Drosophila melanogaster: one gene and its partners. The protein of the gene in region 2 purifies or fractionates together with the protein of the main gene of each other region. This does not show direct contact. Each region holds a gene or a part of one and is shown on either strand. Other genes may lie near its edges.

Region 1 (7,248 bases), on a different chromosome or scaffold from region 2:
CTAAAACAACAACAACAACAACAACAATTTGCATTGTAATAGATGCGTTTGACATTGCTCTTAAGTTCTCCTCATGGCTATCGGTCTCTGTTTTGGTCTCGGTTTCAGGCTCAGTCCAAATCTCGTTTGCCTATCGTTTCTACATAGCAGAACCATAATAATTCAATAAATTTCCAAAAAAAAAAAAAAAAAAAAAAAAAAAAAAAAAAAAAAAATCCCAAGTCCCAAGTCCGAAAAGCAGCAAATCCATAAACTCCCATGCCACTGAATAATTTGATTATTTGCTTGCCTTTTTTTTCTTATCCTTATCGCCTATAGCTCCAATCAGCAAATACCACAATCTCAGAAAACCGCTACAATTCATGCGTCTTACAGCAGAAGCTGTCGTCCCCGTTCCGATGAGGAGTCCCGATTCACATTCGGTGGACGCTACCGACAGCCGGCATCATCTGGACGCCATGCGCCGCACCAGTCGCACTCACCCCACGCATTCGGACATCATACGCACCACTCCCATGCCCATGGACATGCCACGCACGGTCCACACTCGTCCCATCACTCATCGCACACCCATTTGCAGCAGGAGGACGAGGGCATCTACGAGACCGCTGACCACCACGAACGCCAGGTGGTCGACGCTCGACTCGACTGCCACGAGACACCAGATAGCGAGAGGTAGGTTTGAGTCACTATTACTGTCTCTTGGTTCCATTGCCAGGCCATAATCCACTATCCTGACCACGTAAACGATGCAGCCAGCTGAGCGATCACATATTTGATATGATATGATATGATAAGATATAATATATAATGTTCAGAGAACCCTTCAGTTCAGGAGCTCTTCCATTTGAACCAAGACGATCTGCTGCTGATGCATCGTTTATTACCAGCTCAGCAGTTTGTAGCATTTGATTTATGCCCACATATGATGATCCTCCACACCCACAGTTTCCCCAACCCAATTGGCCTGTAACTTCTAGTTTATGGATAGTTTCCCATTGATTGATTGTTTAGATGTGTAATTCAAATTGAATAGCTCGATTGAGAACTAGACGTAGCATGTGACCATACCATTTATCCATCTAGACCAATTCCAATTCCGATTCCGATTCCAATCCCAATCCGAATCCGCTTCCTCGATGGCCCCCGTTTGATTTCTTACCATGTGCCGTTGTTCCTGCTACGATTATTATTTTCTAGTGATGACTTTATTCAAGCTCAACAACAGTTAGCCCGGTGGGCGAGTGAGGATGTGGTATCCGTCGTGGTATTGGACCAGCCGCCATCCGGTACAATGTCGGATTCCCAACCATACATCGACGTCGGACCCATTTCGGGGGCTATAGCTCAGCAGCAGCATCCGCATCAGCAGCAGCAGCAGCAGCAGCAGCAGCAGCATCCGCATCAGCACCACGGCGATCATCATCAATCCTCCGCAGCGGCAGCGGGATCGGGATCGGGAGTGGCAGCGGCGACATCGGTGGCCAACAGTTCTATAATGGCTTTGCCAATCGTCCCAAATGGTATAAGTGTAAGTCAGAGGGACTACTATCCATCCCCGCCCTCAACGGAAACGGAAAGCAGTGGAAGTGTTATCCAGCCGCCCATTCGTCGCGGTTTGCAATCGGCGGCAGCAGCAGCAGCGGCGGCAGACACGGCGGCACTAAGTCAGCATCAGCAGCAATTGCAGCTCCTTCAGCTGCCAATTTATCAGCAGCATCCGCATCAGCATCATCATCCGCAGCAATCAGGCGATACCAGCAGCAGCAACAACAGTCAGTCCGAACAAATCATCGAGAATGGCTGCTACCCGGAATATAAGCATTGATATTGTTATCTATATGATAGAGAAGATCATCCTCATGGTCCATATGATCCATGCGATCCATGCGATCCATGCGGTCCATACTGCATCAGAAATCGCGCATAGATCAACAATCAGCCACGCCCACTCCACTCACATGTGCCCGGAGCCAGCGCGCAGCTAGCTTTCTCTCTAAATAAATGAAATTTGTATCGACCTTTATGATTACTTTAGCATAGTTACCAATACGTTGCTCGTGTATAAGCACATAAATAAATGAATTTAGCCCTAAGTAGTTAAGTAAATAAATGTAAATGTGAAGACAGCAGACAAAAACCAAAACAAAACAAACTAGTTAACGTAAAATGGAGCGGAGTAAAAGTTAGCACACAAATTGAAGCGAGATGGAAATGGGAAACTGGAAAATGGGAAAATGGAAAATGGAAAATGGGAAAATGGAAATGAATATGGAAAAACAAACTTAACAAGCAACAAAAATGTGTATTCTTATGTGTGAGTGGTAAATAAATAGCCATACTTTATTCATAGATTAATAACAATTATTAAGTGAGTGCATCCCAATTTATATTCATAATCGTATAATGATACGTATAATGATGAGAGACAACAAAAACCGAAAAATGAAAGCAAAAGCTAACCAAAACCAAAACCGAAAACAACAGCAACCGCATTAACGAAATAAATAATTAAAAATTGGGAAATATTTACATATTTTTTGCATACCTCGGACCAAGCAATGGAATGCCAATGTTCGAGTAGGAAAATCTTTCAAAAAAAATAAAATAAAATACAAAACAAACCAAAAAACAAAAAACAATGACCGTAAACAGAAAACCACAAAAAAGAATAAATAACAAAACCAAAAAGACAAAAATAAAAATAAACACAAAACGCAGCTGTAAATATGAAAATTAATATTTATGCTAGTTAGTAAATTATACGATCCTTTGCTGGACGTGTAGAGAACTTGAACATTTCGATGGTCACGGATAAGCGGCAGGAAAAATACAATTGTGCACTGGGCCCAGCCCGGGCTTTAAAAAACCCCCTTATTGGGGCAATCTTACACCGACTGATAGAAAATTTTGGGCTATATTGCCAGTTCTCGTTCAATAATCTTAAAAAATGGAAAAAACCAAAAAACCAAAAAACCAAAAAACGAAAAAAAAAACCAAATGGAATGAATAACAAAAACGCTATATACATAAAAAATAATTAAAGTAATTCAAGAAAACGTGAAAACATGAAAGCGGAGAAAAAATAAATCGGAAATATTAATATCTGTATGGTTAAAGTATGAATATGATCAACATAAAGTTAAGGACAATGCTAATGTTAATTTATCGGTTTTGAAACATCAGTAATATATCGTATTGTACCGTAAATTAAGCCATTTAGAATGAAACGTACGAATTAAAATTATTTTCCAGCTTTACAACATCCATTTGTCTTCATTAGGGTGACCAGGGCTTTCTTCTATGCTGAGTTTAAAAATATTTCGCAGCAATGATTCCCAGAATCGCACGTCGATTCCAACCATTGTTGGACCACTGCATCCGTTTCTCATCTCCTTCGCTACTTGTCAAATGTCTCTGAAAACCAGGATCACAAATATATAAGGTAATATACATAAGGTAAAAAGTAACTTTCAGAAATAGAGCACTAGCTGAGTAAAGGGTATCTGATAGACGGGGAACTCGACTATAGCATTCTCTCTTGTTAATATTGATTTATTAATCAACTATATCCTAATTTAAAAGAGGCATTAAAGAAATTTAAAAAAATATATATACATATGTATATAGTATCTTGTTTAAGTGCTGGATAATAAGTAGGCGATATTTTAACATTGTTCCTATGCAATACTATTTTTAATTAGTCAATGATTTGAACTTTGATCTTCTTCAATACTATTTTTGACATTTACACTCAATGTGCTCCAGAAACGACACCTTTAGGATTTGCTCCAAACATTTTTTTTTTTTTTTTTTGTTTTTGTATATATCATTTGGAAAGCCGAGTCCCAACAATAAAATCTTAATCTATGAGGTAAGCAGCAGTATCAGATTTTGAAGCACCTTTTGGCGATAGAATCTATACCGTCTTGACTTGACTGATCAAGGGCATGACAAAGGATGGGGCAAGGAGCTAGACGAACGAACGGTACGCAGGAGCTTTTTATACAATAAAGGCGAGGAATCCTGCGGGTGGGACGCCTCGCAGATTTGCTGTAGTCTTCGAAAGGGCGAAGGGTCCAGCACCTCGGAAAGTTGTGCCTCTCCAACTGGCCTTATCCACAGGAAGGAATTGTCGTCGAAAAGGTACATATAATCATTTTTGTCCTGCATGCACAAAAAATTGGCGATAAACATTGGGGGAAGACGTTGTTACGACGCGGTCTTGGAATCTAGGAAGCCCAGAATAAATGGCAGAATGCTGCCATATTCATACAAATAATTCTGATTTCATTTTTCTTCGTTTTCATTTTTACCTAGATTAGTTTATTCATATACAGAACGTTGTTGATATTCATTTAAAAAACAAACAGTTTCAGTTTGTAAACCCAGTTTCATTAAGGTGTACTAACTTGACTTCTTTGATGAGTCGATTGCTTGTGACGCTTGTGTTTTGGATGGTTCAGTAAGAAAATATCGTGTTTTCTATACATTTTTTAATACAACTGTCATTGTCTAGCGTAACGACGAAACAAAGGCAAATGATCCTTTTAGGCTGCTATACTATAGAATCAACACTTTGTGATTTTAATTATTTGGGAGTTTCTTGCTTGCTTTTATTATATTGTTTTTCGGAGACCATAACTCCGTTCATGTCCACAAATCGTGTGTGGGTTCCAGCTGCGATAAATCGCTTGGCAGCGGGCATATCCAGTCTTGGCGCCGCTAGAGCATCGTTTATTTTCTTATCGCGGGCAAGTAGGTCCCTTGTACGACGCAAATCGTGCATCACAGCATGCTGAAATGGAATCATTAAATGATAATTGTCGCCATGTGAATTGTGTATTGTGTATATATTGCACTCACATTTGAGGCATCTTCACCCTGCAGTTTCAGGTATATGAAAAACAGTGTGCTGTTCAAGTACACAAGGTAGCTATCCAATTTTATTTGTTCATTTGTGTTCAATGTGCGTTCTGCCTGTAGCGCCAGTGCCTTCTCCGTGTCGGCTTCCAGGAGTTCGATGCTGCTGTAAAAGGTTTTCAGGATGTGTTGCATGTTTTCGTCCTCTCGCAGGCTTGTGTCCAGGTAAGCGTTGCAGGGCAGTCCATTGTCGACAGCTTGATTTTCTTGAGCCATGTTCTTTAAATGGAATTAAAATCGCGTGCGAATGTTTATATCTGGCTTAGGCTTACAGTGTGACCGTTGATTGAACATGAAAAGAAATAGATTCTATGAGAAGTATTCAAAAAGCGCCGTTTCCACTTCAACATTCTGCGCCTGCACTGTGCTAATCTACATACATATGTACAAATATAAAAAAAAAATGATTGACAGTAACAGTACAAATTTCAAATAATAAATTTAGCAAAAAAAAAATTGTTGTTACTTTGAATGCATTTAAACTTTTATTGCCCAATCATCTCGTACACAGTACTTATGTATTTAATAATACTTTCACAACGTAATTTATTATTGGGATTCTTGCATTTATGGCCAATTGTTATAATGACCAAAAAAAATAAGCAAACAAACAAACCGAGTAATTGTAAGCAAGTATTGAAGATTTGCGTATTCTTGTAGGAAAAGTACATGGTTTTAAAATAGATCGGATGTATTTGACCAATAATAATTACTTTACATTATTATTTAGTTTAAGCTGTTAGCATTATGATTATGTCTTTTACGACCTTCGAGTTTATTATAAATTTTCATCTTATCTTTGCAATCACACGAATACCCAGTAAAAGTTTCCAGGTCGATTTTATTTATCTTATTAACAATACAGTAATTCCTTAAAGTACTGGGGCGACAAGAAACATAATTGAAATTTTTACGCAAGTTTTTAGTCATAATCCTTGTTGATAGCATACATCTACTGTAATTTCTTATGATTGCCAAAGTAAAATGAATAATGATTGAACGGCAAGAGTTTTTCAACCAAGGATAAAACTGTGGCATCTCCAAAGCGTAATTAAGTAAACCTATGTATAAATTGTATTTTGTTGACTATGTTATGACTAAAGATCCCACACGAGCCGATGCGTACCCCGAAATGAAAGAAAGCAGCTACTGCTTGGAAATCCCTCTCTATTAATACACGCCCTACTAGTACAGCACAACTTGGCAAATTGCGTGGTTAGATCATGTGCAGCTTCTGATCGTTGAGTTTGAATGCCGCCGCATCGCTATGGAGGTGAAAAGGCACAATATCACCTGTTGTGGCCATATCAAATGATGGTGACATAGACGTTGCCGTTGCAGTTGCCGGACTATTGCTGCCACTGGTATTTGCGATGCCCGCCTTGAGATGTAGGCTGTCCATGGACATTTGCTGAGACTGCGTGTGAGGAAGGGGATTGGTGTGGATATGCGGATGGGCTGGGGGATGAGTTATGCTCGCTGGGACGGTTGAGAGTTTTCCTGAGTTTGTTGTGATTATTATGTTTCCGGCATGGGAAGCACCACGTCCACGTTTCCGCTTCGGAAGAATTCCTTTTCGCGCCATATAGAAACGAATGGTTGAGACAGGAATATTGAACATATTGCTGACAGTTTGGAATGTCTCGCCCTTCGAAACACATTTGGCCGCTTGTGCTAGAGATGCTTCTGAACGTCGAACGCGCTTATATGAAGTATAACCATCGATCGAGCTATGGCTCAGTCCTCCGGAAGTATTGGCCGATGTATCGAGATCAGTGTCAAGGCTGAGGGATAGCCCGGATCCGCATGGCACTCCTGTCGCAAAACTGCTGTCATTGTTTTCATCATGAGCGGCCACATAGTTGTGGTCGTCCTCAACATTTGAATCCAAGTATTGCTGCTGCTGAAGCTGCATTTGCATCCTGTGAAAAGATATATATATTTATCCAGAGATACTTGTCATATTAATGCAAAAACAAACCTCGCCTGCTGCAGGGATAGGTGGACATTCATTTTGTTGTCAACGGCTTGCGCAGATATATTGCAATCATCGAATTGCTCCCCGTAGGCATTCCAATTGTTCGGCACCTCGTCGCCGGAGTCATCCTCGGTTGGTGCATTCGAGTGGCTGCCCAAAACGTTCGTAGAGGTGGCCTTAGATGGCTGTTGAGCATTACTGCCATTTATCTGGGGTCGCTGCTGCACCTGCTGCTGCTGCTGCTGTTGCTGCTGCTGCCGAGCATCGGGATTCTGGCGCTTCAATACTGTGGGTTGCTGATGGTTAACCGGTAGCGGTGGAGCGGAGGAGGTGGTCATTGTTGTTGA
Region 2 (9,579 bases):
ATATAGCCACGTTCGTCCTTGTAGCCCGCATCCATTGTATCATAGTAACCCTAAGTGTAAGATAAAATAAAGTATCTTTAAGATTTCAGATATAAGCCATACACTATACTATAGTAACTAAATGATATTTAACAAGTTGTGGGAATTGCTTTTGGTGACTTACCGGAAACTTTTGAAAGTAAAGCGTGCGGAAGAGCTCTTCGTTTTTGTAAAGAGTGGCCATGTTTCCGGGTGGCAGTGGTAGCTTAAGAGCAATCCTGCCCAGCTCCGAGGTCTGCGCCTCGCTGCCGTCCGCTTTCAGGATCTTGACTGCAAGAGAGATGTCCCAGGACTTAAATCCTCACTCAGCCAAGCTAACTGGAGCATCACTCACCGTCGTAGCCCATGAGTGGCAAGCCAGTGGAGTAAGTGGGCGGACTGAGGTTCTGCTGGAAGCCCAGGCATGTGGCGGTGACCGCGGAACCAGTCTCCGTCTGCCACCAGTGGTTGAGCACGGGCACCTTGAAGGTCTTCTCGATCCAGGACTTGGTCTCGTAGTCGCAGTGCTCGCCGGCAATGAAGATGGCACGCAGCGACTTCATGGAGTACTGTCGCCCATAGCTGATGTCCGGATCAGCACGACGGATAACACGGAAGGAGGTAGGTACCGAGAAGATCGAGCGCACCTGGTATTGGTCGATGATCCTGAATATAGGTACAATTAATATGTGTAAGAAACAAGGTGGGGCATAACCACTCACCTAAAGTACTGACCCGGGTCAGGAGTACGGTCCGGTTTACCCTCGTACATAACACTGGTGGCTCCGAGGCAGAGTGGACCGTAGCAGATGTACGAGTGACCCACCACCCAGCCCATATCTGAGGCCGCCCACCAGGTGTGGCCAGGATTGATGCCATAGAGAGTTCTCAGCGTGTACACCAGAGCAACCAAGTGACCTCCGATGGTGCGAAGTACTCCCTTGGGCTTATCCGTCGTTCCAGAGGTATAGAGGATATACAAAGGATCGTTGGCCTCGATGGGAACACAGGCTATGGGCCGCTCGCCCTCCGCCATCTTAAGAATATCCGACCAGAGCACATCCGTCAGAGGATCCAGTTTGGTGGTATCTGGCGAAACATTATCACGCCGAAAGATTATGTTACGCTGCGGTGGTCGCCATCGCGACATGCTAATAGCTGAATGAAGGATGTCCAGGTAGGGCACCACTTTGCCCGGCTCCACGCCCACATTGGAGGCGATCACCAGTTTTGGTTCCACATGTTCGATGCGCGAGCAGAGTTCGCGGGCAGCGAAGCCACCGAAGACCACGGAGTGAATCGCACCCAGACGCACAATTGCCAGCATGGCAATGATGGTCTCCGGGATGAGGGGCATGTAGATCACGACGCGATCACCTTTGACCACGCCCAATTTGGCCAGGCCGCCTGCCAGCAGAACGATCTGGTCATACAGCTCCTGATAGGTAACCCGACGCAGTGTGCCAGTCAAGGGGCTGTCATGGATTAGGGCCACATTGGAGCCGCGGCCGGCCAGTATGTGGCGATCAATGGAATTGTAGCAGGCATTCAGGTAGCCACCCACATACCACTTGGTGAATGGCGGATTACTGTTGTCCAGTACCTTCTCCCATGGCCGATCCCAGTCGAGCAGGTTACCCTGCTCCTCCCAAAATGCAGCCGGATTCTGAACACTCTGGCGATAGGCCTTCAAGTAGAGAGGATCGTGAGCCTCCACCGGCATGCCGCATACAGATTCACCTGCGGAAAAGGTATAGCAGCAGGTGACCATTAGATGGGCGGGTTCATTGTTTCCTCTATTGGGTTAATCGCTGCTTTTAATTAGGCTATCAAACTAAATTACAAACCTTCCACTCCATACCACCTTACACACACCAGGCACATTGAATTTTAAATTTTCCAAATGTCGCGGTCACTCAACTGATTTCTATATACCCAACCTGGCACCCATGTACTGCACATATGCGTCGGGTGTGCGGCTCACCCAGACGCCGAGCATAATCCACACGTGATTGGCGATGGATATTGGACCTAAAAGCCTCCTTGTTGAATAAGCTAATCGAATTCATTAATATTTAGTGCCGACAGTTTGGGCGCACAACTAAACACTAATTAATCACTTCAAAGTCGCATCGAAAGTTCATTATTTTAATTGGCGAGCAGTGGTTTAAAACACAATATTTATCACCTTGAACTCTTGTGCATAAATTATCTATCTATCTACATCGCACTGCAAGAATCCAAGAATATTGTAAAAAGTTGGACTCCACTTAGATAGTTTTTGGAAAATTCGAAAATCTATAGAATTCATTTAGATCACAACGAAAGTTGGCATATTAGTTTTCCAAGCACTTTATTTGATGTTCTAAAAGTTGTTTATTTTAACTGATGTTTTCAATATGCGTATTAAAATATGTGTACCGATATAAATATATGTTCCGCAAAAATCACGCGATTACTCATTGATTAAATTTTTTAGCCTTTTCATATGAATTTCGAAACCTTTTTCGACTTACTGCCTTCGTAGTTCACTGCACTAGGACCGGGTTCCATTGTAACTTTGTATAACTTCCGTTCTTGTATATATTCAAGTCAAGTTAATGTATATATGTATTTATTATATATATTCTTTTTGAATTTTTTGGATCAAACGAGCTCAGCACAACCGTCGCACTGTAGTCGAAACTTTGCAATGGGTCTGGAGAATGTAGAACGCAAGTTGGAAACCAAAACCTTAAACAAAACACCCGATCAAAGGTATGCTTTCGAAACTCTCCGAGATCGGCAGAGCCGGAACGGTGGAAAAGGTTTACGAAACGGAGCGGAATTTAAAAACCTTACATTTTATTTATACGAAATGATTGTAGTTACACATCTTCAGCGTAGTCTAGTTCCACATAAGCAAAGATCCAAAGAATTACTTCTTTTTCTTATCCTTCTTTGTCTTTTTCGATGGAGGTGCCGCAGAAACCGCTTGGCTATCAGTTCCTTCGGTGGTCGTTTCCACGCTGAAGCCCTTGATGTACGGCTTGACCAGCCGGAAGATCAGCTTCTCGTGCTGCACATTGCTGGAATCCAGGCTAAGACGAACCGTGACTGGATCAAAGGAGTGGAACACCACGTCACCGCAACGCTGTGTATGATCCTCTTCGTTGAAGGTGAAGACAATCTCGCTCTTGACGCGCTCCACACCGTCCTTGCCATCCTTGTCCGACTTTAGATACAAAGTGCCTTCCAGGCCATACTTGGGGATTAGCACTTGCAGAGCATTCTTGCGCACAAATAGCACATATCTAGGGATGGGTAATAATTGAAAAGAATGTTGCCCACTAGTGGTTTCTTCGACTCACCCTTCCTCATCCTCCTCCTTGCCGCGGAAAAAGAGATGCGTGTTGAGGGCCACTGATGCGCGACCAGCGTACTGAGCCATTTTGTGGCGGTAGTTAAGATTATGACACAGCTCCTCATTTGACTTTCGGTCCAATAGCTGGGCATAGGTGCTATCCGCGCCGATTGAGGCGGCCAGCAGGCGATGTACCATAATGTCGGAGTAACGACGAATGGGCGACGTAAAGTGCGTGTAGATGGGAGCAGCCAGACCGTAGTGGAAGAACTCCTCCTTCTGCAGACTGCCGCTGATGAAGTACACTGCCTGCATCATACAGCGTGTGGTGAGGATGCGGATCATTGTGTTAAAGTACGGATTATCCGCCTTGACACACTTGTCCAGTGAATGCGACAGCTCCAGTCCCGAATTGATGTCCACCTGGAAGCCCTGGTAGCGCGCAGACTTTACCAGCGGATCGAAATTGGTAGGCGGTGGCCGAGGATGGCGACGCAGAACAGCGCACTCGGAGAACTCCGTTGCGATATGCTCGGCCACCGTGATGTTGGCCAGCAACATGAACTCCTCCACCATGGAATTCGTCTCGCGCATCTGCTTCACCTCCACCTCGAGTGGTTCGTGTGTCTCGCTGTCCACCTGGAAGCGGATCTCCGGGGAGGCAAGGACAAGGGCTCTGTAAATTATGGATGCCTTAGTTCACTTGATTACGAGGTGTTAATATAATCTTACCCATTATCCATTCGTCGCTTTTTCAGTATTTTGGCCAACCGATTAAGATTTCTCAGGGACTTGGCTATTTCATTCTGTTGCGTGGCATCGTCGATGATATTCTGCGCTTCCTCGTAGGTCATGGCACGCTTCGATTTGATGACGCTCTTGTGGAAGCGTTTGCTTAACACATTTGCTTCATTGTCCACTTCCCACACGCAGGAGAAGGCGAATCGCTCAACACCGCCAACCAATGAGCAGAGATTTGAGCTGAGTAACTCGGGTACCATGTCGATTCGTTTGCCCACCAAGTACACGGTGGTTCCCCTGGCCGCTGCCTCCATGTCCAGTGCGTTTCCTGGACGAATAAAGTGACTTACGTCGGCTATGTGAACGCCCACTTCCAGATTGCCGTTCGGTAGTTCCTTGCAGTGCAAAGCATCATCGATATCCGTGCAGCCCGGGGGATCCACAGAGCAAATGTACAGATCCCTCAGATCCACACGCTTGGAATAGTCCTCGTCAGTAATTGTCCAGGGCATTTTCGGCAAGAAGCTAAGCACTTCGTCCGAGAACTTGCAGTGCGGGACGTCGTGCTCCAGCAGGATAACCTCGTTCTCGGTGGCCATGTCTCCGAGCGGTCCCAGGGAGCGCACAAAATGTCCATGTGGGTAGCGCGAGTTGCGCGGCCATGTGTCAATCGTTACGATGATGCGCTGGTTCTGCAGCATTGCTGCCTGTCGCGTTTCGATACGGATGCGCGGAATCTTACGGTCGGCGGGCACAAAGATGTGCCGATTTGTATCCTCTATTAAGCTAGGCTGCAGGATGCCGCAATACTGTCGCCATTTCCGTCGCACAATACCGACAATTCGCCCTGTGGGCGTGCGCTCTGCGGATAAGGCAGCGGCACGCACCTGATTCAACATCTCATTTTCATCCTTGGCCCTTTCCTCGCTGGGCACTTCATCGGCATAGACATTCTTCTCCTCCAGTACAATTTCACTGGGTGCTGACCACTCCGCCTCGGGCAAAAGCTCCACGGCCACCAGGTCGCCATCCACGGCCCGATTAAGAGACTCGCGTCCTTGGATAAGGATCTATTAAACAGAAATCGTATTGTGAAGCGTATGCCAGGGAAGATATTTAGCGTTTTAACTTACCCCCTTTTCGAATTTCTCTACATTGACGGTGCCCTCCAAGTAGTTTTCCCTGGATGCCTGAAAAGTGCCCTGTAGTAGCTTATTTTGGCGCAGTCCTTCCAGCAGCTCCTTCATGCTGAGATGCGGCGGGTACTGGGGCAGACCATTCTTCTCGCTGTCGAATGTTTTGTGCGACAGCTTATCCATCAGAAGTGGAAAATCCTCGAGAGATTTCACGTACTCCGCTGCTGTGGTCACCAGAATACCTTCTGCTTCGGCCTTAGCACGATTGGCAGCATCATCTGTGAGCAGAACAACTCGCGTAGCAGCTTTGCCACTGCGCTCGAACTCTTTAGAGGATTGCGAGGCCTGCAGGTGATCATCGTACCACTTGGTGGCCAGACGAATGGCCCGATCATTGCGATCATTGGCGGTCTCATCTGGTTCGCGATCAGCATAGGTTTCCCTAGAAGAAGCACTATATTATAAAGGTTTCCCAAGAAAATCCATTAACCCACTTGTGGTGCTCGTTGACGAACACATAGAAGTTCCTGGTGCGGTCGTGGACGATCTCATTGAATCGCTTGTAAATGGCGGAGCTCCTGTGCTTCACCTCGTTGAGCACGGTGGTCAGAACGACTACGTTGCGCAAAACATCCTCCTCCAGCACGTCGATCTGGTCCAGAACCACATTTGTGTCCAAAACGAGATAGTGCGGGAATTTGAAGAGGGTGCTCTTATTCGCGTGCTGCGAGGTGAGCTGGTATACCTCGTTTTGGAAACACTCCCGGCACAGCTCGGAGCCGCAGCCGATGTCGTCGCGCAGATAGTGCTCCCGTACAATCTTCAGAATGTTGCCGCGCTTGGTTTTACGCGTAAATTCGCGTAAAGTTTGCATTTTGTTGAACCGCGTTCGAATTGTTACACCTTCACATGTGTGCCGGAATAGGGAGGCCCGTGCATGATTCGACTGCGGTATTATCTGCCTAAGGCCTGTTCACACTGCAGCCGCAATGGTCACAGTGGTTTGAGTCTACGGACTGCCCCGTATCTTAAGGTATAATTTAGTACCATTTATTGAACTGATTTTCTATATCGGCGCTTAGCACGTGTAGAACGCACGTTGCTCAAATTTTGTTATTTAAAACGCTAAATTACACAGCTCCCGGATGGTGCCGAACGAGAAAAGCTTTCCCCGAGGCGGGACAATCCACAGCGAAGTCAAAACCGACGACGTGAGCCTGAATATCGTGAGTTTAGCCAGCGAAATATCCGAGATCTTTGTACATACTTTTCTGTCCCACAGGTTTTCGGTGCCTCGCAGAAGAAGGTGAAGAAGGCGCCGAAAGTAAAAGAGAACCTTCTGAGCTACGAAACCGAGGAACAAAATGGCCAACTGGAGGCCTTCTCCGCGGAAACGCTCAATATGGACACGCTGCAGGAGGACATGCTGGTCATGGGAGTGGTCAAGGAGTTGACAGCCACCGCACTGCAGATCGCTTTGCCCGGTCGGATGTTCGCCCGCACCTTGGTGGCGGATATATCCGACGCCTACACCCGTGTGGCCAAGGCGGCCATGTCCGGAGACACCAGCGAGTACCACGACCTTACCGAGCTCTTCCAGTTGGGCCGCATCGTCTACGGCAAGGCCATCAAAACAGAAAAGCTGGACACCGGTCGGGTTAGCCTGCTCCTTTCCCTCAAGCCGGCCGATGTGCACGGTAATCTGCATCACAAGAGCATTAAGAAGGGTTTCATCTTCTCTGGCGCCGTGGCGGAGGCTCTGGAGCACGGCTATGTCATCGAGTCGGGAGTACAAGGACTTCAGGCATTCGTGCCATGCGAGAAGCCAGCTCAGAAGCTACACGTGGGGCAGTTGGCTTTCCTAAAAGTCAAAACCGTTCATCACGACACCCACCAGAGCACCTGCACCTGTGTCCAGGTGGAGCAGGACCAGCTGCGCATCAAGAGTCAAAACGAGACGAATCTCGACTACATTCTGCCAGGCAGCATTGTAAAGTTTAAGGTGGCCAAGCATCTGAAGGATGGCCTCAAAGGCAGCATCATGAATGAATCCTTTAGTGCCTACGTCAACGAACATCATCTAGCTAACGCTTTGGATACTTTGGATGCCTACGAGCTGAATGAGGATTACAATGCCAGGGTACTCTACGTGATGCCCCTAACCAAACTAGTGTACTTAACTCTTAATCTGGATATCAAAACTGGAGCTGCAGTAGCAAAAGATCAGGATGAGGAAGAGCAGGAGGTAGAGCCCATAAAGGTGGGTTCCGTGGTGGAAAAAGCCAAGGTTCTGCGCTTGGGCAGCGGTGGCGTGGTACTGCTTCTTAATAAGAAACTAAAGGGCATTATCTCATACGGTTCAATCAGAGGCAATTTCAAGGGAAATTATGACAAGGACGAAGTATTGTCCAAATACGGAAGAAAAACGAAGCATAAGGTTCGCATCCTAGGATACGATGTCATCGAATCCTTGTACTACTGCTCCGATGATCCCAACGTGGTCAACGAAAAGCTGTTCTGCCTGGAGGATATTAATGCCGGCGATCTGGTCACAGCGAAAATATTCAAGAAGGATGACAAGATCAAGGGCTGGTCGGTGAGGATCGGCAAGGTCAACGGAATACTGGAACAGTTCTATCTGGCACCCAATGTCCGCTACGATGTGGGTCAGTCGTTGAAGTGCCGCGTCCTAGAAGTTAATGCCGAGCGAAAAATCTGCTACGTGAGCAATCGTGCCGAGTATTTGGGCAAGGGAATTAAAATTCTGACTGATTATGCGTCCGCTCACGTTGGAAACGTCTATATGGGCACAGTAGTCCGATGTGAGGACACTTACGTCCTAGTGAAGTTCGGCAACGGCATCAAAGGAGTTTTGCACAGGCAGAATCTAAAGGAAAATAGCTCATTTTTCGAGGGACAAACAACTAAGTTCCGCATCCTAACACGCAACAAGGACCAAATCACTTTGACTTTGCCGGAGGACAAGTTCCAGCTTGGTGAGATCTGTCCCGTTGAGATAACCAATGCCTTAGACGCTGGACTGGAAGTTAAAATCACCTTCGCCGCCGAAGATGACGAAGAGGATGAAGATGGGAATCCAAAGCTGGAGGAGTTTGTGGGCCTAATTCCACTGCGATTGTTGTCGGATCACCTGGAGCTGCTGCACGCCCAAATGCGGGTCCATCCCGCTGGCTCTTACACCGATGCGGCCTGCATTATGCAGAACATCTTCAGCTTACGAGATGTCCCCTACTTCAGTGGCCAGCTCACCAAGGATTGGCAATCGGTTCAAGTGGGAGACATAATACGCTCTTATGTGAAACACGCCACCGACCAGGTGGTGGACCTCATGGTGTGTGTTCGCAACTACAATAAGCCGGTAAAGGTTCACGTCAAGATGCTTCGTCTGAATGCCGTGAAAAATGCGCCCGTCGAGCTAGTTCCTGAGCAACTGCTATGGGTAAAGGTACTCAGCAAGGAGGTGGAAACTAAGACTCTAACAGTTTCAGCAAAGCTTACGGATGTCTGGAGCGGGGATCTTAGTGACACTGCAAAACTGGTCGAAGGGTAGGTCTAAAATAAAATCTTATTGAGTTCATTAATTAGTTATTCTTTGAATTTCTTTACAGCTATTTAAATGAAGTTGCGCAAATAAAGGCAGGCCTTGAGGAAGCCTCCGCCCCTATTTCAAAATACTCCGTTGGGGAGAAAATCAACGTGGTGTTCAAGGGCATTGATGCGACCACCAATGACTGGGTCTACACAGTGGAAGGCAATGGCAAGGTGTCCGCCCTGCTGCTCTCCAGTTTGGTTGGAACTGCCAAAGCTCCTGAGATGGGTAGCAAGCACGAGGCAGTTATTCTATGGATTGAATACTCCAGCGATGTGCTACTCATCAGCAACAAGAAGCTGGACATTGCGCATATTTCACCAAGCGGCGAACTATCCACGAATCTGATCGGAAAGGCTGGCATGAAGGCCAAGGTGCTGTTAAAACTGGAGTCCGTAGCAGTGTGCTCGCTTAAGAAGGGCACAAACCCGTTGGTCATCTGTCCAATTCGGTTGCACCCCAACGATATCGAAAATTCTGGAAGTGCCGAGTTGCGCCAAGGAGATTTCTGCAATATAGCCTTCATCCATGACAAACTCCATATCGCAGTGCCAGAGACTGTTTGGCGCCTCTGGAGGGGAGTGAAGAGAACGGCGGGCACAGAGGTCGCCCCTGTAAAAGCTAAGAAGGCAAAAGTAGAGGAGTCACCTAAACAAAAGAAGACTACAATTGAGGAGACCTCTGCACAGAAGAAAGTCAAAGCGAAAGCTAAAGTGGAAACTAAAACGGAA
Region 3 (6,963 bases), about 14 Mb from region 2:
GGCTGGGAATGTGCACGGTGCGGGGTCCTGTCTTTTCGACCAGTTTGTTGACCAACCGAATGTTGGCGAAGGTGCCGCGCGACATGATGGCATCGTTGCCACGACGCGATCCGTACGAGTTGAAGTCACGGGGTGTGATGTTCCGCTCGGACAAGAATCGGGCAGCAGGCGAGGTTCTAGCAATAGATCCAGCCGGCGAGATGTGATCCGTGGTGACGGAATCGCCTAGGAAGAGCAGGCAACGTGCCTTCTGAATGCTCTGCAGCTTGGGAAGATCTCTGGTCATGCCCTCGAAGAAGGGTGGTCGCTTAATGTAGGTGGAATCGGCACTCCAGGAGAAGAGCTTGCCCTCGGACACCTGCAGAGTCTGCCAATCCTGGGAGCCCAGCTCAATTTTGCCTGCAGATGGAAGTGAAATTAAACCAAACTCAAATAAAGATGGCGCACGAAGTACTCACTGTACACCTCCTGGAACATGGCGGGGATTACATGCTTGTTCTCCACTTCCTGTATCTCCGATCGCGTTGGCCAGATGTCCTGCAAGAACACATTCTTGCCATTGGCATCCACTCCCAGAGGTTCCTTCTCGAAGTCGATGTCCACGCGTCCTGCGATGGCATATGCGATCACCAACAGAGGACTGGCCAGATAGTTGGCCCTGGTGTTGGGATGGATGCGACCCTCGAAGTTTCGGTTTCCGGACAAAACTCCAGCACACACGAGGCCGTTCTTCTCGATGGTGTTCACCACATTCTCCTCGAGAGGACCGGAGTTACCAATGCAGGTCATGCATCCATAGCCCACAATATCGAAGCCCAACTTCTCCAGATAGGGAATGACTCCGGACTCTTTCAGGTAGTAGGTAACCACACCGGATCCAGGCGACAGCGAGGTCTTGATATAGGGCAGGATGCTCAGACCCTTCTCAACGGCCTTTTTGGCCAGCAGACCGGCACCCAGCATCACCGAAGGATTCGATGTGTTCGTGCAGGATGTGATGGCCGCAATGACAACAGATCCATGATGCAGTTTGTAGGTCTTGCCATCATCCCACTGGAACTCCCCAAAAGCGGATTGAGCTTCCGGAGCAATGGCGAATCCCTTGAAACCCACCTAAGGTAATGGTGGAGCAAAACAATGTTTAATTTAATTCCCTTTTTCTCAATGAATTTGAAACTTACTGGGCTGGACAGGCACGACTTAAAATCCTCAGGCATGTCGGAGACAGAAACGCGATCGTGAGGACGCTTGGGTCCCGAAACGGAGGTGACCACCGTCGACAGATCCAAGGTGATACTCTGTAGAAGGGATGTATGTTAGCTTAAGTTTTTAGTGGTATATGTAAGGCAATTTCAACCTGAGTAAACTTGGGATCTTGGGCCGCATCAGCATAGTTGCGCAGCTGCTGAGTTGCCTTCAGATACTGGCGAATGATGTCGATCTTCTTTTCAGACCGATCTAAAAAGTTTGTTATGATATAGGTAAAATATTGTTTTATGAAACAGTCTGGTTTTCCGTACTTGTCTGCTTCATGTAACCAAGAGTATTCTCATCGATGGGGAAGTATCCCACGGTGGCTCCGTATTCGGGACACATATTGCTGATGGTGGCCCTGTCAGCAATGCTGAGTTCCGCAACTCCCGGGCCGTAAAACTCCACAAACTTTCCCACCACACCCAACTGGCGCAGGTGCTTGGTAATGGTCAGCACCAGATCGGTGGATGTGACCAGTGGGCTCAGTTTGCCCTCCAACTTGTAGCCAATTACCTCGGGCAACAACATGGAAATCGATTGGCCCAACATCACAGCTTCCGCTTCGATGCCTCCCACTCCCCAACCAAGTACGCCCAATCCATTTATCATCGTGGTATGGGAATCAGTGCCCACCACACTGTCGGGATACAGAATCTTGGAGCCATCGGTTGCGTCATTCTCGAACACCACGCGGGCCAAGTACTCCAGATTCACCTGGTGGACAATACCGGAGCCAGGTGGCACGATCAGCATGTTGTTGAAGGCCTTGGCTCCCCACTAATTAGGAAAAACAATATTATTAAAAATACTATCTGGATAATAAGCTAAGGAAAAGTAACCTTCAGGAAGGTGAAGCGCTCCTTGTTGCGCTCAAATTCCAGTGACTGGTTCTTGGCCAAAGCATCAGGCGCACGGGCGAAGTCCACCTGGACCGAGTGATCGATGACCAAGTCGGCGGGGCAGATGGGATTGATTTTCTCCGGGTCGCCGCCCAGATCCAAAACAGCATCGCGCATAGCTGCAAAGTCCACCACAGCAGGAACTCCAGTAAAGTCCTAGTAGCAAGATATTATATAATTTAAATATTACTTTGCTAGATTGCCGTATGAAACTCACCTGCAGGATGACACGGGCCGGCTTGAAGGACACCTCCACATCGTTGGATCCCTGCTTGAGGGCGGGCGACCATCCCAGGATGCTCTGCACGTCCTTCTCTAGGATATGGAAGTTGTCGCAGTTGCGAACCGCCGACTCCAAGAGCACTCGGATCGAGTAGGGCAGTTGATCTACGCGTTGGAAATGTTAAGTGTTAATCAAAGTGTTTAGAATTTCATCACAGGTACAGTAAAGCCTCTTGGTGAGAGGACCTAAGACAATTTGCCGCACTAAACGTATGTATCTTTAAAAAACCTTTAAGTTGCACTTGTTGAATTAAAATTCACGAGTAGAGTAAAGAACCTCCCTTTTTCTATAACCGTCCACCTTAGTTAGTTTAAAGTGTGCTAGTCAGATAGCAGTCACTTCTTATCACAGGCACAATGATTACGTTTGTCCAGCACTTAATGCGATTCACAGGCGTCACTATATGGGAGGAGCCACCAAAGAAGCCCTCACCTCAGAACCCCGATTTCTGGACACGCGCGGTTCCAGTAAAAACATTCCACTGATCTTGAGATTTTTCGGAGTCATCGGACTACGACCCCAAATCAGCAGATCTGCGAAGTTTTAATTCGCTGATAAGTGAGCACGTAAAATTGGGAAATGGAAATCAAATTTCGGAGGCACACGATTCGTTATCACCGCTAGACGAGCCCCATTATGAGGCAATCTGGCGGTGATAACTTTCGCTTTCGGCGCAAGACAAGCCCGCCCATAGAAAACTATAGAAAATCCACTTAATGCTCCGGGAGCACCTTCTACTTGACATTGCCTGACTTGCAAATTGAGCTGTTCTTCTACGCTTCTTTTTCAATTCAGGGGTCAAACTCCAACTTCAACAGGTGCTTAATTAATCCCATTTTTGATATGCATGTTTAGCCTAGTTTATTGCGACCACGTAGACAGACACGCCCACTTTTAAAGCCTTCTTAAGACCACATCCACTTACCATATTTACTATCGATGGAGGCGAGGTCAAAGTACTTGTATGTTGTGCCGGCCTGGGAGAAAGTTTTCTCGAACTGGGCGAAGGGATTGGCGCCTGCGACGATACGAATGTGTTATATAAGCCACAGGATTCGGGGGACAGGGTATATGGTAGTCGAGGGAACTGCAAAGCTCCGGACTGGCAACCCACCTGACATCTTATTGGAACTCTTTACTGAACTTATTCCGGACGAGCAAAGCAAGAAACTGATTGGAGAAGCAGTTCGGATAGGAGCTGGCCAGCCTTCGCTGTCTATCGATAGCCAGCGATAGTTGCGTATATCGCCAGTCGGATCGACAGTGCATTTTATACATTATATATGGTGCATTATATTTTATAAAACGATAGCTTTATGTTCACTTCTCTTTTTCTAAAATGAGATTATAGTGTTCTGCGCTTGGTATGTTATTATCATATGTATTAAATGCAGTAATAACTATTCGGATATTTATGTAATACACCATCTTTTGAAAAGCCTGAAATTTGTGCAATTATCAGTAAACTAAATCGACGAAAATAATTGAAAGTTGTATAACATATGGTTCATTTTTAAAATGAAAACTCCACCCGCCAAACCTATCAGTAATCGACAGAGCTCGTGCAATCGCAACATCATATTGCACCGATATGTCGAGGGAAAATTGAAATCGTTATCGAAAATACGAGGCGATAGCACGCGCACGTTGTTTTCTTTGAATATTAGGAAAATATAATATGAATTTACCAGCGAAAATGGACGTGGAAAAGGATAAGCTTCGCCAGATGCACTGCGAATTCAATCCCTTGTCGCGTTGCGACGGATCCGTGATGTACAGCCAGGGTATAGCCGTGTTTTCAACTCTAGTACATGGCCAGAACCGGCTAACATGGTCTTGCCAATTTCAGGTGCTACAGGTCTCATAGGCGCAGTTCTCGGCCCCATCGAGGTGAAGACCCAAAACCTGAGCATAGATGGCAGCTACTTGGAGTGTAACTACCGACCAAAAGCGGGCCTGCCGCAGGTTACCGATCGGATTCGGGAGGCGGCCATTCGGGATGTGCTGGAACTGGCCCTCCTGTCGGAGGCTCATCCGCGCTCCAAGATGTCCGTGCAGATCCAGGAGCTGGAAGATCGTGGCAGTGTATGTTTTTGAATCTCCTTCATCTGTAATCCTTCTAACAATATATATATTCTATCAGATTGATGCCTGCGCCGTAAATTGCGCCTGCCTAGCCATGCTCATCGGAGGCCTGCCTTTAAAGTATAGCTTTGCGGCTGTCCACGCCATCATCAACGAGCAGGGCGAGTATGTGCTAGATCCGGACCAAAGTGAAACCCTCCACCAGCGCGCCAGTTTTACATTCGCCTTTGATTCTGTAGAAGGAAACCTTTTGTTGATCCAGACAAAGGGCTCTTTCAAAATAGCCCAGTTCAATGATATTGAGTGCCTATGCCTGGCTGCCAGTGCCGAGATCTTTCAGTTCTATCGCAACCAGGTTGCAAAGTATCATGGCAGGAGTGAGGCGACGGCTAAGAAGGAGGACGTCAATGAGACGTGATGTTAAAACAACTGAAACTACGATTAAAGCTCATTTTATTGTATTAACTGTCTGCTGTGAAAGTCGGTTATGTTGCTCAGCTCGAGGGGCGTGCCCTTCAGCACCTGTGAGTTGGATTCCTCAATGCGGACGGCCAAAAAGTCACCTACTCCAAACGATTTTCTGGCTGTGGAATCTCCAGATATGGGTACATATATAGAAGGAACTATGACCTTGATATTGGCATCATTCCGACCGAACCAGTGAGCATCGGACCTCTTGCTTTTCCCTTCTATAAGTATGAGCTGCTCCTGGCCTTCCATTTTACGATGTAGCTGTGTAGCTCCCTCTCGGAAAACCTGGACCATGCGCTGCAGTCGCTCATTCTTCACGTTTATGGGCACATCATCTTTGTAGCGCCGATGGGCAGTGGTCTTTTCTCGCATGCTGTAGGCGAACAAGTAGGCCACGTTGTACTGCACTTGTTGGATAAGAGATACAGTGTCTTGGAACTCCTCTTCCGTTTCACCGCAAAAGCCGCAGATAAAATCGCTGGACAGCCCCACGTTGGGCAAAAACTGTCTGATGTGCTGCACAAGTTCCAGATAAGCCTCTCTGCTGTAACCACGTCGCATCCTTTCCAGAACTTGGGTATTGCCCGATTGTGCTGGCAGGTGAAGTTGCTTGCACACATTCGGGTGATCTCTGATGACCTCCAGAACTTCGTCGGAGAAATCCTTCGGATGCGGCGAGGTGAAACGGATGCGCATGTCTGGAACAGCTTGAGCCACGGATCGGAGCAATGCTGCAAAGGGAGTCCCGCCTGTTTTGGGCTTGTAAACAGTGCTAAAACCGGGCACTGGAGTTGCTTTCAGTGAGTCCTGTTCCTCCTGCGCAGTTCTGTCTCTGTACGAGTTGACATTCTGACCCAGCAGGGTGACCTCCTTCACGCCCTGTTCCGCCAATGCCTTGACCTCAGCCACAATGGATGCCAGGGGGCGAGAGCGCTCGCGTCCACGGGTGAAGGGCACTATACAATAGGTACACATGTTGTCACAACCGCGCATGATGGACACAAAAGCAGTGGGCGATTCGGAGTTTAAGCGAACGGGCATCACATCCGCATAGGTTTCGTCCAGCGAGAGGAGCACATTGATGGCCGAGTTGCCATAATGCCGGGAGATAGCCAGTAGTCGCGGCAAATCCTTGTAGCTATCGGGTCCGGCGATTACATCCACACATTGCTCCTGTTCCAGCAGCTTCTCCTTTAGTCGCTCCGCCATGCAACCCAGCAGTGTCAGCTGTAGAGGATGCCTCCGCGTACTGCGTTTGTTCTTCATGGCTCGCAGGTGCTTCAATCGGTTCCTGATCCTCTGCTCCGCTCCATCGCGCACTGCGCACGTTACGAGCATTATGACATCGGCCTCCTCCGGCTCCTGGCATCTCAAATAACCATTCTCCTTCAGGATACTGAACACCACCTCCGTGTCATTCGTGTTCATCTGGCATCCGTAGACCTCAAAGTGGACCTTCCTTCCGTTTCCATTGAAATCAATCGAGTTCAGGTACGGCACACTGGTGTCCACATGCTCCTCTTCATCAGTTTTCAGTCTTGACGCAGGCTTGACCGCAAAAAAGTCTTGGAAGCCCGGTCCGCGTTGAATCCTCTCCAGAAAAGTTGCACGTGCTGCCGGCTCTGATTTTAGTTGACCCGCTGCGCTGGAGGTAACGGATGTCGTAGCTCCTTTCGAGGCAGTCGTGGAGGCATGCCGCACTTGGCGAACAAATGCCCGGTAGCTTATTTTCATGGCAGTTATTTATTTATGTAATTTTTATGTTTCTGTTCAAAGAAGTGGTATTTTATTAATGGTATTACAAGTGGTATTTTTCAGGGCTGGAAAGCGTTGTTTACCTGAAACAGCTGGGAGGATGATTTTTATTCGCCATCTAGTGGACAGTAGCAAGACCTTGTAGTTTAAAAACTAGCCGCTTGTTGTTTTTAAAAAACGTGACAGTTTTAAATTGTTCCGCTAAATTTTAATTGA
Region 4 (6,831 bases), on a different chromosome or scaffold from region 2:
CACTGCGACTTGTCGCTCTTCTCGTTCTTGAAGTCCAGATCGTACTGGCCATCCTTGTAGAACTCGGAGGCGGCCACGTCCATGCCGATCTCGATCTTGCCGGTGTATCCGGCCTTGGCGATGGCATCGCTGATCAGGTTCAGAGCCTCCTTGTTGGACTGGATGTTGGGGGCGAAGCCGCCCTCATCGCCCACAGCGGTGGCGTCCAGACCGAACTTGGCCTTGATCACATTCTTCAGGTGGTGGTACACCTCGGAGCCCATCTTCATGGCCTCTGTGAAGCTGGTGGCGCCGGTGGGCAGGATCATGAACTCCTGCATGGCCAGCTTGTTGCCGGCGTGGCTGCCGCCGTTGATCACGTTGAAAGCGGGCACCGGCAGGATGATCTCCTTGTTGCCAGCCAGATCGGCAATGTGTTTGTACAGCGGCACGCCCTTCTTGGCGGCTCCAGCCTTGGCCACGGCCAGGGAAACGCCCAGGATGGCGTTGGCTCCGAACTTGCTCTTGTTCTCGGTGCCGTCCAACTTGATCATGAAGTTGTCAATGGACGCCTGGTCAACCACATCCAGATTGGCCTTGATCAGCTCGGGTCCCAGGGTGTCGTTCACATGGCCCACGGCCTTCAGCACCGACTTGCCATGGTAGTTGGCCTTGTCGTTGTCGCGCAGCTCCAGGGCCTCGTGGACGCCAGTGGAGGCGCCGGAGGGCACGGCGGCTCGGAAGAGTCCCAGCTCGGTGGTCAGGTCGACCTCCACGGTGGGGTTGCCACGGGAGTCGTAGATTTGACGGGCCTTGATCGCTTTGATGGTCATCTCGTTGCTGTCACTGAAATCAAAAAACAAAAAACAAAGTCCACGAGGGCGAATTAGTGTCTGTTATCAGGACTTTAAATCTAGGCATGGTGTTCTATTAAATAGCTGACCGCAGATGAAGCCATTCAGATTTTATGGCGGATGTGCTCCACAATATTTGCGAAATCCCCGCCATTACTTAAATAGTTGGGCTTATTTATATTTAAAATTGTTCCAAATGGACAGTTAAATGATATGTTTCGTGATGCAGTGAAATATTCGGAAATATGTCGAAAAAGAAATACGAACTAGAAAGGAAATGGGAGATACACCTTTGACATACTTTTGGACTTGGTTCTCAAAATATGGTTAGATATTAATAAAAAATTATTTTTTTTTGCAAAGAATTGTAGCTGTGAGCATGTAAGTCACTTGCAATTTGAGCTGTGAGTGGTGTAAACTTATACATATATCCCCATTCGGGTGTGACTTTCTCCACGGTATAATCTCGAAATGCCCCTCCTGAGTTTTCTATATTTAATTTGTCTTCAAATTTCAGTTAAATATTTCTATAATAATTTAGAGTCACTGACACTGGCGGCATTTCCCGCTTTTCCGCTTATCTCAGTGGGAGAGTTTTCAGTTTGCTCTCGCCGAACAACCGAATGACCTCTAAGCTACTTTTAAAGGTCAGACCCAAAGTGAGGCGTCCAGCGAAGCCGCAGTACGTGGAAAAGTTGCGAAAAACGGAAGTATCTCCCTACAGCGATACAACAAATGCCTGTCAATTGAAATTATTAGATTTGTGCAATTAAATCGATTGGAAATATACGTAAACGAGACACTTGAAAATTTGCACAGCACCATTTGTTAGATAATCGCGCGGATATCGCTCGCAAAAAACGCTCGATTTTCAAGCCCTTTCGATTGGGGTGATCTTTGTGAAGTTCGCAGATAAAACAATTAAATATTTTCCCTAAGCTGGATGCACAAGCACACACCAAGAGTCTAGCAATATACATACCAAGTACTTTTGCGGATCTGCACAAATTTAAATCCAGATGAGAGCTGGCTGACTGCTGATTTGCTTCTGAAACGCGGCGCAACGTTTGCCGATTTATTCTGGGGAATTCTGGGGAGAGGCCAGCGCAGACGCAGAAACTTCATGCTAGTGGTGGAAGTCCTCAAGAAAACTGAAGCGGTCCAAGACATGGCTTGAATGTGTAAAAGACGGCGGCGAAAGTGCTACCAATTTGTATCTTGATAAAGGAGTAAAAAATATCATTTAAAATATATATTTTAGTTACCTTACATGAAACTATAGCTCTGTTGCAAGCTATATGATAAATTTAATATTCATAAATTTTAAAAGCTCAGCTTAGGCGATGTATTTTTGCCCATCTCTAAGTGTGGAAAAGAGAGGGACACTTACATTTACTCTCCTTTTATATGTATGCGTTTCCAGGTGCTCGCCGGTTTTCAGTGTGGGGGTGCGCTTTCCCTTTTTTGTTGTTTTCCCTGGTACGTTTCCTATATTTTTTGGGGAAAATTGACCTTCGCACAAGGTTAGAGTAATCGGGATCCACACGTAGCTGTGGATTGCATGTCTATCTACATAATAATAAATGCTCTCGTTAATAAAGCATAAACAATCAAATGGCGTCAAGAGAAGTGTAACAACCAATGATAATGAAATGTTCCCGTGGTTTCTGGACAATCGGGTCATTCAAAGTCACATACTTGTGGTTAGTCACGCTTTTTAGCTGCCATAAATTAGAACAAATAAATGCAAAGCGGATTTTAACAAATCGTACGATTATGCTTATAGCAGCACAGCTGATCGGGAAAAAATTGCATATGTGTTGGTTAACATTGCCGCCCACACGCTGTTAGCTCTTTAAAACTTTCTTTGCATTTTTAAGATCATTCAGTAATATAGAACAATTACAATTTGACTAAATATAATTTTTCTGTTACTTTTTTAAGTTCATCTTAATAATTAAAATCGTAAGCATTTTGAAAATAATAAAATAAGAAGGGGCAAAAATAATTTGAATATTTATGTTCTTTACAACTACTGTTAAATTTAACTTTAAGACCAGGGCTGACAATGGCAGTGTTGGAAAGTCCTCGACTTGACCATATGTTTTGAAAGACACACGCGGATTTTTTGTTTGGAGTTTTCAAATCGTAAAAGCAACATTAAAATGAGCGCGACCAGCACAATAGTTATGCCCGGTGAGCGAATTGCGGCCATTGAGGAGCTGGCCAAGAGCAAGCGGGTGATACTCGGACCGGGACTGCGGCGTCTGGATGACACGGTGGTGGCTAGCAAGGCGGGCCCACTTCGACACAAGGAACCCGGCACCTTCTGGGTGGACAACTACCAGAGAAGGTACATCCCGGCACGCGGGGATCTCATTCTGGGCATTGTGCGAGCCAAGGCGGGCGATCTGTACCGCGTGGACATCGGAGCAACGGACACAGCCTCCATATCGTATCTCGCCTTTGAGGCGGCCAGCAAGAAGAATCGCCCGGATCTGATCCCCGGTGATCTGATTTACGCGAGAGTCCTGAATGCAAGCGCGGACATTGAACCGGAGCTGGTCTGCGTCAACTCGGTGGGCAAAAGTGGCAAACTGGGCGTCCTCACCGATGGATTCTTCTTCAAGTGCAGCCTGAATCTGGGAAGGATGCTGCTGCGGGAAAACTGCCCTGTTCTCGCCGCTCTTACCCGGGAACTGCCCTACGAGATCGCTGTGGGAGTCAACGGCAGGATATGGTTGAAGGCCCATTCCCTGAAAGAAACCGTGGCCCTCGCCAATGCCATTTCAGCGCTGGAGCAATCGGGATGTGCGGAAATCGACAAAATATGTGGCAATCTCGGAGACTTCCTGCAGGCCTAGGATTAGTTCTTAGTTTACTTACTTTTATATAAAAAGAAATGGTTAGCCAAACTGATGGGGTTGAATTTTGATGTGAATGTTGGCGCAAAGGCAGTGTGTTGGAAGCCCTGATTCGTTTACGTAAAAAAACTATCAGAGATGAGCAGATGGAAGCGTTTTTCGTATCTTGGATTATGCTCTACATGTTCTCTCAAGAAAGATAGTACTACCCTTACCTAGCTACCAAAAGGTATTTAAATAATATAGCATCATTCAAAAACCAAGTATAAGGGTTTTATGTCAGATAAGGTGACTACTTTCCGCAGTCACTGCGTCACCTCTGGTGCCCACCAACAGCTGATCGATCAGACCCGCTCGCAGTGATTTCTGTGTGGCCAAGAACAGGTTTCAGTGCCTTCCGTTGCGGCAGAGGACAAAGGTTTCTCCGACCCAGCCGTGCCATACAGAGCCAACGAGATGAGCTTCCTGGAGTTTCTGCTGCTCCTGCTCGTGCTGTACTATGTCGTGTACGTGCTCCTCTGGATCCTGCTCGACTGCAATGTGGCCCTGTGGTACAAGTCCCGTTTCGGAGTCTCGCTGTCGTCGATGCGCGGACAGGTGGTTTGGATAACTGGTGCCTCGAGCGGAATTGGCCGCGCTTTGGCGCTCAGCTTGGCCAGGCATGGAGTGAAATTGGTGCTAAGTGCCCGGCGACTGGAGCAATTGGAGCAAGTGCAAGAGGAATGCCTAGCTGCAGCTCGCGGACTGCTGGCCACCAAGGACGTGCTGGTCATTCAAATGGACATGCTCGATCTCGACGAGCATAAGACGCATCTCAACACGGTGCTCAATCACTTTCATCGACTGGATGTCCTTGTCAATAATGCTGGCCGATCCCAGCGAGCCAGTTGGACCGAAGTCGAGATCGAGGTGGACCGGGAGCTGTTCGAACTGGATGTCTTTGCGGTGGTCCACCTCAGCCGCCTGGTGGTGCGCTATTTCGTGGAGCAGAACGGCGGTAGAGGACACATCGCTGCCACCTCCAGCATCGCCGGCTTCAGTCCAGTGCCATTTTCACCCACCTACTGTGCCGCCAAGCACGCCCTTAACGCCTACTTGCTCTCCCTGAAAGTGGAGATGCGCAAGCTGGATGTGTCGCTCTTCGCACCGGGACCCATAGCCACCGATTTCCTGCAGGAGGCCTTCACTGGCTCGCAGGGCGGAAAGGTGGGTCTGAGTACGGCCAATCAGAAACGGATGACGGCCCAGAGATGTGGCGATCTGTTCGCCGTTGCCTTGGCCAATAAGATGGATCTCACCTGGTGCGGCCTCTTTCCCGTCAACCTCTTGGCCTACTGCGCCCGGAATCCCACGCTGAGCAAGATTCTGGCTCAATTGATGACCGAGAAGACGCTGAACAAGATTCGCGAGGGCAAACTGTGAGAACAACCCCGGTGTGCCTCGCCCCTTCCCTATTCCTGCTCCAAACGGCTCTCAGTCATCTTTTATACTGTTGTATAATTCTTAACTATATACTAAAATATATAAATATGTGCACAAGATTAAGTTGAGTGTGCGTTTCAATCGCGATAATCTTCACAGGCACAGTGGGATTCTACAGTTCCTCCCATTCAATTGGTGAGCAATATTGTGGTAAGCTAATAATCAATTAAGATTTATGAATTCTAAAATATTCTAGTTAACTTAAGTCATTAACCAGTAATTTAGTAATCTATCATCTGGTTCAGATGCATAGATTTTTTTGCCATTATAGAAGAGGGCATATTACACTCAGGTGGCTAGTTAAAGCAGCTCCTCCCACATTATAATGATTTGTCAAGACTGCAGATTACCTTGCATTATCTTATATTTATCTACTTGATCAACCATTCTAATCTAATCTTTTCCTAGCGCTGCCTTGACGTGCGCTGGGATCTTGACTCGTTTTCGTTTCGCCTTGGTTATTGCGGTCTGCTCAACTCCTTTGAGCTGTTGCTTCGCCTTGTCCTTTTTGCTCTTCTTGCAGGACAATGGATTGGGGTTCTTGGGCCCTTTGTGCTTCTTGGGTTTGACTGCAGTTTCAGCTGGCTTCAGTCCCTGCTTCTCCTTCATGTAGTCGATTTTCTCGACCTGTTTGCCCAGCATTAGGTTTTTGGCCCGTCGTTGCACCCACTTCTTGGAGGCTTTAGATGGTGCTTCCAAGACGGGAGTGGCTTTGTGCAGATAGAGCAGACAACGTCCGGGAATCTTGCGAAGACTCTCCTGCAGCAGACGATCTTGCGAGGCAACCACATAGCGATTGTCTTTGGTCTGAAAGGCAAGTAATCATTTTATGGCTATAGCATACTTGAAATCAAGTAACTCTCAATTTACCATCGATTTGATGCATTCGGAAGCGGGGACTGGTTTTCCTTCGTGTCCGCATTTGTGGACATGGAATCGCTTGACGATGGATGTGGCTCCAGTGAGAGGAGCACCCAGGGATTCCGACTCCAGAATAACACACTGGGTGGTCAGTAGCTTAACGCCGCACTGGAAGTACTTTTTAATCTGCTCATCTATGCCAATCTTTTGCTAAAAGTAAAAATTAACTATGGATATCAACAAGTGCTAGAGATGATATAAGCAATAACCCACCTGAAGGGCTGCTTGGCAAAAGGTGGCATCAATTAGCACTTGGTAGGGTTCCCGGTAGTCGAAATTGCTGGCAAAAAACACCAGAGTTTTGTGCGACTTCTTAAAACGAGATATTTTCATGATATTTGCGGGTGGGTAGTCACCAAGTTTTATCAAGTAAAAACAAAAACAGCGTGCAAGTACAGTGTTGAACAGCGTTCAAGCTCAGCTGTTCTCGCCTAACAGACTGTGTGCGCACAGCAGCTCTGTTGTAATTTATAGCCTGCTGTTATTTGAATTCGAAATGTTTTACATTTGGCGCCAAACCGGAAGCAACAGAGAATGCATTTTCAACCCTCTTCAAGCAATTTCCCTCCCTTTCTCTTTTCCGCAGCTATTAAGCGCTTTGTTTTCATTTCCCTTCGCGTAGTCAGTTGGTTTTCCATTGCAGTTGCAGGCGCAGCAAACAGCGCATAAATAAAATTCAAATTTTAATGACAGAGCCTTCAATTTCAAAGTGCCAATTTATACAGTAAGTT

Evidence for each region.
Region 1: the proteins of Dis3 (region 2) and Rrp47 purify together in Drosophila melanogaster (affinity purification with western blotting, with the first as the bait; 2 studies listed by BioGRID). This does not show direct contact.
Region 3: the proteins of Dis3 (region 2) and Rrp46 purify together in Drosophila melanogaster (affinity purification with western blotting, with the first as the bait; 2 studies listed by BioGRID). This does not show direct contact.
Region 4: the proteins of Dis3 (region 2) and Rrp40 purify together in Drosophila melanogaster (affinity purification with western blotting, with the first as the bait; 2 studies listed by BioGRID). This does not show direct contact.

The regions. Positions count from the first base shown.
Region 1 is NC_004354.4:15,942,947-15,950,194, reverse strand, and holds Rrp47 (ribosomal RNA processing 47), read right to left. Parts: upstream 5,299-7,248; 5' UTR 5,140-5,298; coding exon 4,867-5,139; intron 4,799-4,866; coding exon 4,592-4,798; 3' UTR 3,946-4,591; downstream 1-3,945. Other genes in the region: mmd (mind-meld), read left to right, coding at 319-675, 1,201-1,828; CG8924 (uncharacterized protein), read right to left, coding at 6,140-6,845, 6,905-7,248.
Region 2 is NT_033777.3:24,330,026-24,339,604, reverse strand, and holds Dis3 (Dis3), read right to left. Parts: upstream 6,173-9,579; 5' UTR 6,113-6,172; coding exon 5,733-6,112; intron 5,681-5,732; coding exon 5,236-5,680; intron 5,173-5,235; coding exon 4,094-5,172; intron 4,038-4,093; coding exon 3,369-4,037; intron 3,312-3,368; coding exon 2,936-3,311; 3' UTR 2,572-2,935; coding exon of another isoform or gene 2,535-2,571; 3' UTR 2,357-2,534; downstream 1-2,356. Other genes in the region: CG6432 (uncharacterized protein), read right to left, coding at 1-50, 164-309, 374-684, 741-1,758, 2,535-2,571; Rrp5 (ribosomal RNA processing 5), read left to right, coding at 6,384-6,464, 6,521-8,805, 8,868-9,579.
Region 3 is NT_033777.3:10,409,259-10,416,221, forward strand, and holds Rrp46 (Rrp46), read left to right. Parts: upstream 1-4,042; 5' UTR 4,043-4,114; coding exon 4,115-4,220; intron 4,221-4,285; coding exon 4,286-4,521; intron 4,522-4,579; coding exon 4,580-4,939; 3' UTR 4,940-4,974; downstream 4,975-6,963. Other genes in the region: Irp-1B (iron regulatory protein 1B), read right to left, coding at 1-399, 459-1,113, 1,182-1,298, 1,358-1,458, 1,521-2,031, 2,094-2,309, 2,371-2,540, 3,362-3,454 and 1 more; CG6345 (uncharacterized protein), read right to left, coding at 4,975-6,726.
Region 4 is NT_033779.5:1,725,831-1,732,661, forward strand, and holds Rrp40 (ribosomal RNA processing 40), read left to right. Parts: upstream 1-2,901; 5' UTR 2,902-2,998; coding exon 2,999-3,697; 3' UTR 3,698-3,932; downstream 3,933-6,831. Other genes in the region: Eno (enolase), read right to left, coding at 1-825, 1,816-2,003; CG31937 (uncharacterized protein), read left to right, coding at 4,154-5,119; CG17652 (uncharacterized protein), read right to left, coding at 5,573-5,986, 6,050-6,250, 6,314-6,433. UniProt on the Drosophila melanogaster protein: Non-catalytic component of the RNA exosome complex which has 3'->5' exoribonuclease activity and participates in a multitude of cellular RNA processing and degradation events.